Linked DNA regions of Rattus norvegicus. The protein of the gene in region 2 binds, or shares a complex with, the protein of the main gene of each other region. Links are inferred from orthologs where the notes say so. Each region holds a gene or a part of one and is shown on either strand. Other genes may lie near its edges. The genes, in order: Fgf8 and Fgfr2.

Region 1 (3,903 bases), about 60 Mb from region 2:
AGTCAGGTTCTATAGACTATAATCAGTTCTATGGCCTCTGTCCTGTTACTCATATAGATTAGAGCTACAGAGCCAAAGGGGCTCCCAACCTGTCACCCACAGAGGACTCCAGCATGTGCTTCATTTTGGCCCTGGGGCTTGGGAAGTGTTAGAGCAAGGTGGTCCCCATCTGAGAGATCCAAGGCCAGCTCAGAATCTTTCTGTGCCCCCTAGCTGTCTTCCCCACAAAACCCTTTCAGTGGAATAGAAGAGAAAGCTGGCAAACAGTTCCTTAGATGGAGGTTGGCCTTGGACCTGCAGTTGGGACAGCACCGTAGGAAGGGGCTATTCCTGGCAGGACTCAAGCTCCAACACACACTTCTACTATGCAAGTTAAATTAACACTTTAGTCATTTAATAGTAACCAGTACACAACCACCCCTCACTGACACCCACCCCAAGGGACTGACCTAGGCCTAATCTTTTTTTTTTCTCCCTACCCTTGCCTGGGGTACAGAGTGGCCTTGGTTGGCCTGACCAGGTGCCCTGCCAGTGCTGGGACTTCAGACTAGAGAGCCCTCCACCCCAGGGAGCCCCAGAGCAACCCAGCCTTAGGTCACCAGTGGGCTTTCCTGAGAGCTAAGAAGACAGACACCACAGCCAGTGGAATACAAAAATAGAGCCTCTCTTTTGTTTAAAAAACAGAACAAAACAAAACAAAAAACCCAACAGCAAACAATATGCACAACTAGAAGGCAGCTCCCCAGCTCCTCCCCTTCGCAGTGCGGCCGAGCTCTCCCTGGAGTCCGCAGGCAGGCAGGGAGGGGCCGGGCGAGCGCCTATCGGGGCTCCGGGGCCCAAGTCCTCTGGCTGCCGCGCAGGCTGCGCGTGAAGGGCGGGTAGTTGAGGAACTCGAAGCGGAGGCTCTGCTCTGTGGTGTGGTGGCCCCGCGGCAGGCGCTTCATGAAGTGCACCTCGCGCTGGTGCTGGCGCGTCTTGGAACCCTTGCGGGGCCGGCCCTTGCGGGTAAAGGCCATGTACCAGCCCTCGTACTTGGCGTTCTGCAGCGCCGTGTAGTTGTTCTCCAGCACGATCTCCGTGAACACGCAGTCCTTGCCTTTGCCGTTGCTCTGCAGGTAGTTGGGGGGTAGGGGTGAGGGGGCAGACGAGGTGTTACAGAGCCTCCCTCCTAGTGAGGCAGAGGGCCAGCGGCCCCAGACAGCAGGTGGGCACCCCAGCAGATGGCAAGGGGAGCCTGAGCCCGGCCCCACCCCCTACCCGGGCACCCGTTCTCTAATCCCTCACAACCCACAGCCCACCCGGCAACTTCCTGTCCTCCTGGGCAGCAGTGACACATGGCTCTCCACGGAGGGGCTGGGCCCGAGGCAGAGGGGCCCAAAGCCTGCCTGTTCTGGCCTACTGCCCACCAGTCTGGCCTGGGTTGCGGGAGTTTCTCCACCTGCCCCCCAACTCCCCAGCATCTCTGGACTCAGAATCAGCCCCCCCACTCACCCGGGACAGACACCCTATGTGGGGGAGGGGAAGCCTAGGAGGGACTCTGAGGCCCAGGCCCTGAAGCCTAGGAAGTGGGGAGCTTGAGACTGGAGAGGAGCCGTGACTAATGGGGTCATTTCAGAGCTAGGCCGAGGGGCTGGGCCTGCGGCTTACTGAACATTCCAAATGCTGGTACCATGTAATTGGACATAATAGCAAAGCAATTTGGCGATTTGTAAAAAAGATATATGGAATTTGCATCACCACCCCCATCCCCTTCCCTAGCCTTCCTCCATCTTCTTCATAGGTTTTAGTCTCTCTCTCTCTCTCTCTCTCTCTCTCTCTCTCTCTCTCTCTCTCTCTCTCTCTCGTTTCTTTCTCTTAGTCCTCCCGTCTAATCATTAGGCAAACCCTGAGGTAACCAAGGTACCATCCATGCCTCTCCAGACTCACCTTGCTGGGATTAAAGTGTACTAGAGAGGCTCAGTCAGTCCATGCCACCTCTCAAACCCCACTTCCCTTCTGGAGCCTCACCTTGGCGATTAGCTTCCCCTTCTTGTTCATGCAGATGTACAGACCGGTCTCTGCTCCGCGGACTCGGACTCTGCTTCCAAAAGTATCGGTCTCCACAATGAGCTTTGCTGTCAGGATAGTTATGGGAATGGATGGTCAGTAGATCTGTGACCTCTGTGCTCTATAGCTTTATCAGGGATGCACCCTATCCCTGGAACAACCGTTCCAAGGGCGAGAAACACAAAACACAGCTCCAGCCCAGTCCATTTTCGGACGCACTGGATAGCCCTAAGGAAGATGGACTCTTCAGGACCTGAGACTCCACCTCTGGGCTTGCAAAGGGTCTGGGACAAATAACAGTTTACAGGGTAAGTTTCATAGATAGGTTTGGATGCATTGAATCTCCATTCCTTTAGCCCCTTTTTCCATGCTAGAAGCTTTTTCTTTTTTCTTTTCTTTTCTTTTTAAGGTCGAGGTGCCAAGTAAAATTTAAGCTATGTAGATTCCATAGCTGTTTGAGAGGTCTCTGAATATCCTTCCAACCTAGAATATGAGCTCACACCCCACAGATCATTAAGAACATCTGGGAACAGTGGTAACCTCCTATCATGAAGCTAAAGGTAAAAACATCCACTGTTCCTTCCCAGTCAGGTCTAATTCCCAGCCCTGGCCATCCTTCACCCCTTGGGCAGGCTTGTTCTGCAAGAAATGGCAGAGGAGGCTGGAGAGATGGCCCAGCATGCTGTTCCTGTAGGGGGCCAAAGTTCAGTGCTCACAACTGCCTGGGACTCTAATTCCAGGGGGTCACACACACACACACACACACACACCATACATACATACATATATAGTTCAAAATAAGAGACTCAGAGAAGAGGCGGAAGAGGGTGCTTTTCCCTATACAGACTTTAGCAGCCTGCTGTCTGGAACCAGACTCAGATCCTGCCCTTCTCCTTCAGGTTGCCAATCTTTGGAGTCCAGCTCCAACACGTACAGACTCTGACAACTCATCATTGTCTTTTCTCTCTTCACCTCCATTATAGCAGGGTCTCTTAGGCATTGGCCAAAGCTTTCAGAGGTGAAGCTTTCAGAATTCAGGGCTGAATTCTGTGCCCTCCTCTACTTCCTGTTCACATGAACAGCCTGCTTGCCCCAAAAGCTGCTCCCAACCACCTCTTCCTATAATTGCTCTCTTAGAGGCTATTCCCAAGGAGAGAGGAAGAGCTGAATTAGATGGTGGAGCAGCAGAGACTGCGTCTCCTGCCTGCCCTGCCTCAAAGCCCAGACCTTTTCCTCCTTGAGAAAGCAGTCCTATCTTGACAAGTGGCTCTCTATATACAACCAATACCAGTGGTAAGGAGGCACAGGGACCACCAGGGAAGGCCTCACAATGCCTAGCCCCTGATTGCCTATTTCACATAGACACAAAAGTGGGATGCAGAAGCTGAAGTCCTCAGTCTGTCCCCAAAGTCAGCTGGGAGGAACAACTGTTTACCTCTCCTTCTGCTCACCTCTCCAGGCAAACTGTTGATTCCTCTCATGTCTGCTTTGTAAAGCAAGAAGCAATTGCTTCATGGCCAGGGAAAGATGCCGGCTAGAGGGGGTTACAGGACCCTGCTCTGAGTATCATATTGCAGAGTGGGTACCTCTGCCCATTCTCGGCTCCTGACGTAGCAATTGGGACCTCTCCTCTGCTTTCTTCAGTCTGTGTACCTTAATGCCTCTTTCATGGGCCTTTTGGAGGCCCAGATTCAAACTTCTGCCCTTCAGGCAGAAACCAAGAAATCCTGGAAGCCTCCTCTGGGTCTGAACGAAGTGGCATCTGACCTCTCTAATGCCTAAAGACCAATTCCATCACTGCCAGCCTAGCTTCTCCTTCCCACCCCAGAACCCAAGGATGCTAGGCCATTTGCTCCA
Region 2 (3,803 bases):
ACCGAACTCAGTAGCAGAAGAACCAATCCAGGCTCTGAGACTTCTCTGCATTTTCCAAGCCCGCGCTGGAGAAGCTCCACACCTTAAGACGGTTTTCTGTTCTTTCTCTCCTTCTCCTCAGCATCTCCCGACTCTGGCTGTGATTCGAATCTCATGCAAACCCTGAACCTAGTGAAGTGTACCCAGGGGCATTGGCAAAGTGTGACCTACAACTTCTGGGGCTTCTCAGCCTTCCTCCCTAACCTCACATGTACCTACAGGTCCCCAGGTGGAGGACCTGCTTTCAACAATGTGAGCATTGTTGGATATCAGTTCTTACACAAAGAGCCGTTTGGGGGACTCCAGCCCACTGTCCTTCCTCTCCCCCACCTGTCTTCTCCCTGCGCATAAAAACACCTTGTAACCTTTCTCAGGTAATTAGATGGAGTCCAGGACCATTTTATACCCTGCACTGAAATCAACTCACAGCAACACTGCCCCGAGAGTCCAGATGAAAAATGACAATTCTTTCCTAACGGGGCTGTTTCTGAAGCCCACGCCGTAGGAAACCTCGGCTCAGCTTCCTCGGTTTGTGCTGAACCACACACTCCAGGGAAAACCAGCAATTAGAGGAACATCCATTTTAATTATTAGCAAAATTAAAGAAGTACAGACCAGACTTTCAGAAACCCAATCCTTTCCTCTCGCATTAAACCCTTTGAAAAACGTGTCCCTGTTGCAAATTACACTTTCCCTGACGTCACAGGATAAGTTACAAAGAGGTGATTCCAAAAATGGGTGTGAGGCTGTATGCTGAACCCTGAACACAAGCTCCTACCACATTTCCTTTCCAAAGACACCTGGCAATTTATAACATTTTCAGGCATCTGTGTGCCCTCCCCCCACCCACCCATCTACCCATCCCCCACACCCCACCCCACCCCACCTCACTCACTCACACACACACACACACACACACACACACACACACACACACACACACGTCTCATTCACACAAAGCCAGTGAGAATGCCTGAGTGGATCTTACTGGGGACCCCTCTTAGATGGATACAAGCCCTCCTTGGGGACATCCTTGGGGGGTGGGGTTTCTGTCCCCACCCCTTACCATCCCCCTCTGGACGAACTGCTCCTCAGGACCCTGATTCAGGGTGTGTAACAACAGCAACTCAGCTGACCCGCCAGCACTCAGGACCATAACGGACTCCAAAGCCAGCCGGCACCAGGTGGGCCCTCGGCAAACACGTTCATTAAGTGGCGATGAGTGCTGCGATCTGCAGTGTCACGCTCGGATTACCACTCAAAAAATAACTCGCCTACCAATATTCCTTCCCGATGACAGATTCCCATGCTGCACCAAGCAGAGAGGCTTGGCTATGGACCCCGGCTCTGAAGGACCTGGGAGAAGGACCAGCTCTTTGCCCAGCTCAGGATTTTCAGCCATCTTCTCCTCCTCACAACTAGCCTATTTCTCATCTGCAACCAAGTGTGCAGAGCCAAACACTAGTGAAATCTGGCGTTTCCTCGGATGGGGGAGGCTCTTGGCCAATTCACTTTCGAATCTTCCCAGCATAAAGCCTGCCCCTCTGTGATACTGGACGTAAGCACAAAGCTTACAGCAGCTTAAAACTCAATCCAGCATGGCACGGCTCTTGGTGCTCAACTTCAGAACCACTGTTTCTCCTAAACAACTCGAGAAAACGTCAGCCTTCAGAGGCTGCCTATCTCCTTTAGCCAAAAGATAGTGGATTCAAGGCTTTCCCTCCATCTAAAAAAGCAACCGCAGAAGGCCACAGTCACCCAGCCAGGGTATGTCCCCTCCAGAGTGCTGCAAAGAACTGCTGCCACCTCCCTCACCCAAGCACAGAGAACAGGGCAAATCAAACCACTCCACTCATGCCTGGGAGCCAAGACCCTCCCTTCTACGGTCTGATATGGAAGATGTGGAGAGAGATCACCCTCATAAGGCAGCAGGCTGAAATAGGCCTTCCGTTCAAAGACCACTTCCCCCAGACACATCCCCAAAATAACTTGGTACCCTTAAAATGACATGCAAGAACTTACCTTCTGGTTCTAAAGTGGTATCTTCAACTAAACTGAAGGAGGGCCGGGCCAGGGACAAGGTTGCCATGGTGACCAAGACCAGGCAGATGAAGCGCCCCCAGCTGACCATGGTCACGGTGCCAATCCCTGGTCCTGTTCCATATCTCCATGTGGACGGTAATCCCATCTGCACACTTCTTCAGGGACCATGGGCTACCTGCAATGCCTTCAGCCCACGGGGGGCTCAGGAGCCAGGGCGCTGCTGTGGCTTGCTCAGGCTGTTGTTGCTGCTGCTGTCGCTGCTGCTGCTGCTGCGGCCGCCCCTGAAAGAGAATCAGCCAGATTCAGTCTCTCCCCCCGTGCCAGCCAGCTTAAACCCAGATGGGATAAAAACCGTTTCTCAGCCTCTCAATACATTCGCAAACACATTTTTTCTCATTATCGGAAAAGCCTTCCATCCTCACCTCAGCGTCCCAGGTGTTTCCAGAGGCGTCCACAAACTGGAGTAAACCAATCTTTTCAAAAAGCTTACTTTTAAGACACACAAAGATAAACCATCACTATAGGACCCAGCCACCCAGCCATGCAGTGCGCCCCTCCATCCACTATCAAGCCACCAGGTTGCTGAAGCAACTTGACCTTCCTTCCTCTCAAGGACAACTGCAAAAAAAAAAACAAAAAAAACAAAAAAAAAAAAAAAAACCGAGTTTAAAACGCTGGGCTTGGCACGACCAGCCTCATTAACTTCTCTTATTCCAGCTGGCCTTTAAGAAGCTGACTGGAGGAAGGGTTTGCTCTGAGAGCCGCATTTCAGCTGAGCCGAGCTGCATGTCCCCCGCTCCAGAATGGTTCTCAGAAAGAAAAGGAGACCGACAGAATCAAAGAATCTCAGGAAGGCTACAAAAAAATTCCCACCAGTTTACACTTGTCAGAATTCATTTTCAAACGCGGGCGTGTATTTCAATCTTTCGCCAAGCCGCCACTTACAAAGAGTGAGTTTAATCCAACCGGGGGATTCAAAGCCTGAATTCCCTTCCACTGACTACGCGGCAGTGTACAGGCAGGCATACTAACTAAATACCTTCAGCGTACGTCAAAGGGGTAAAGATACAGAGCAGATACAAACCTTGAGGAATAATTCAAGATTCTATTAGGAACGGTGATGATATGTACAAGCAGTTTGTGGTGTGTGATTGGCCTGCGAACTTTCAATATGTAACCTATTGGCTAAACTTCCCAAGTATCAGTTACAGGGGGCACTCAACTCATTAGATCCAAAGCAGAGAACTTCCCAAGAAAGCTTACCACAGTACAAATAGCTTTACGTTTGTTCAGTGTCTTCAGTGACTCAGTCTTGAGTCAGAATGCACAAGCTCTTAGAGAATCTGCTCAAACAGGAAAGGATCGGACAAAGCCATGGGCTTTGGATCCTGTGGTGTGCACATTTTATGAGACTGGGAATGGGTGAGCGTTTTAGAGAGAAAGAGAGAGGTGTCTAATCCCACACTTTTGATGCTTTCAATTAGAACACAGGATTTCGATCGACACTGCCAGAACCTCCCTGAAGCCCTCCCTATCCTAGGATCTGTTCCTTTCACCCTTCTCTGAGATTAAAAAGCAGAGAGGATGCACCATCTCCAAGAGGGAAATAAGAAGCTGTTGTTTGTTTCTGTCTTTTAAGCACAGGTAAAATGGTATAGCTAACAACAAAATCCAGGAAAGTGAGTGTCTGTCTGTCTGTCTGTCTGTCTGTGCACGCCTGC

Evidence for each region.
Region 1: the proteins of Fgfr2 (region 2) and Fgf8 are in contact, whole or in part, in a crystal structure (PDB 2FDB), measured with the Homo sapiens proteins. The link is inferred for Rattus norvegicus from reciprocal best matches to the Homo sapiens genes FGFR2 and FGF8. Residues at the interface, in NP_000132.3 of Homo sapiens: Glu160, Lys161, Glu163, Lys164, Leu166, His167, Ala168, Val169, Pro170, Asn173, Asp247, Val249, Arg251, Ser252, Ser282, Asp283, Ala284, Gln285, Pro286, His287, Ile288, Gln289, Ile291, His293, Leu309, Val311, Leu312, Lys313, Ala314, Ala315; in NP_149354.1 of Homo sapiens: His53, Val54, Gln57, Asp62, Leu64, Ser65, Arg66, Leu68, Ile69, Arg70, Tyr72, Tyr75, Arg77, Gly80, His82, Val106, Glu107, Thr108, Thr110, Phe111, Gly112, Ser113, Val115, Thr148, Glu149, Ile150, Val151, Leu152, Glu153, Asn154.

The regions. Positions count from the first base shown.
Region 1 is NC_086019.1:254,532,861-254,536,763, forward strand, and holds the end of Fgf8 (fibroblast growth factor 8 isoform 2 precursor), read right to left. Parts: intron 2,115-3,903; coding exon 2,008-2,114; intron 1,110-2,007; coding exon 819-1,109; 3' UTR 644-818; downstream 1-643. UniProt on the Homo sapiens protein: Plays an important role in the regulation of embryonic development, cell proliferation, cell differentiation and cell migration. Required for normal brain, eye, ear and limb development during embryogenesis.
Region 2 is NC_086019.1:194,274,308-194,278,110, forward strand, and holds part of Fgfr2 (fibroblast growth factor receptor 2), read right to left. Parts: intron 2,982-3,803; exon of another isoform or gene 2,505-2,981; intron 2,364-2,504; 5' UTR 2,228-2,363; coding exon 2,062-2,227; intron 1-2,061. UniProt on the Homo sapiens protein: Tyrosine-protein kinase that acts as a cell-surface receptor for fibroblast growth factors and plays an essential role in the regulation of cell proliferation, differentiation, migration and apoptosis, and in the regulation of embryonic development.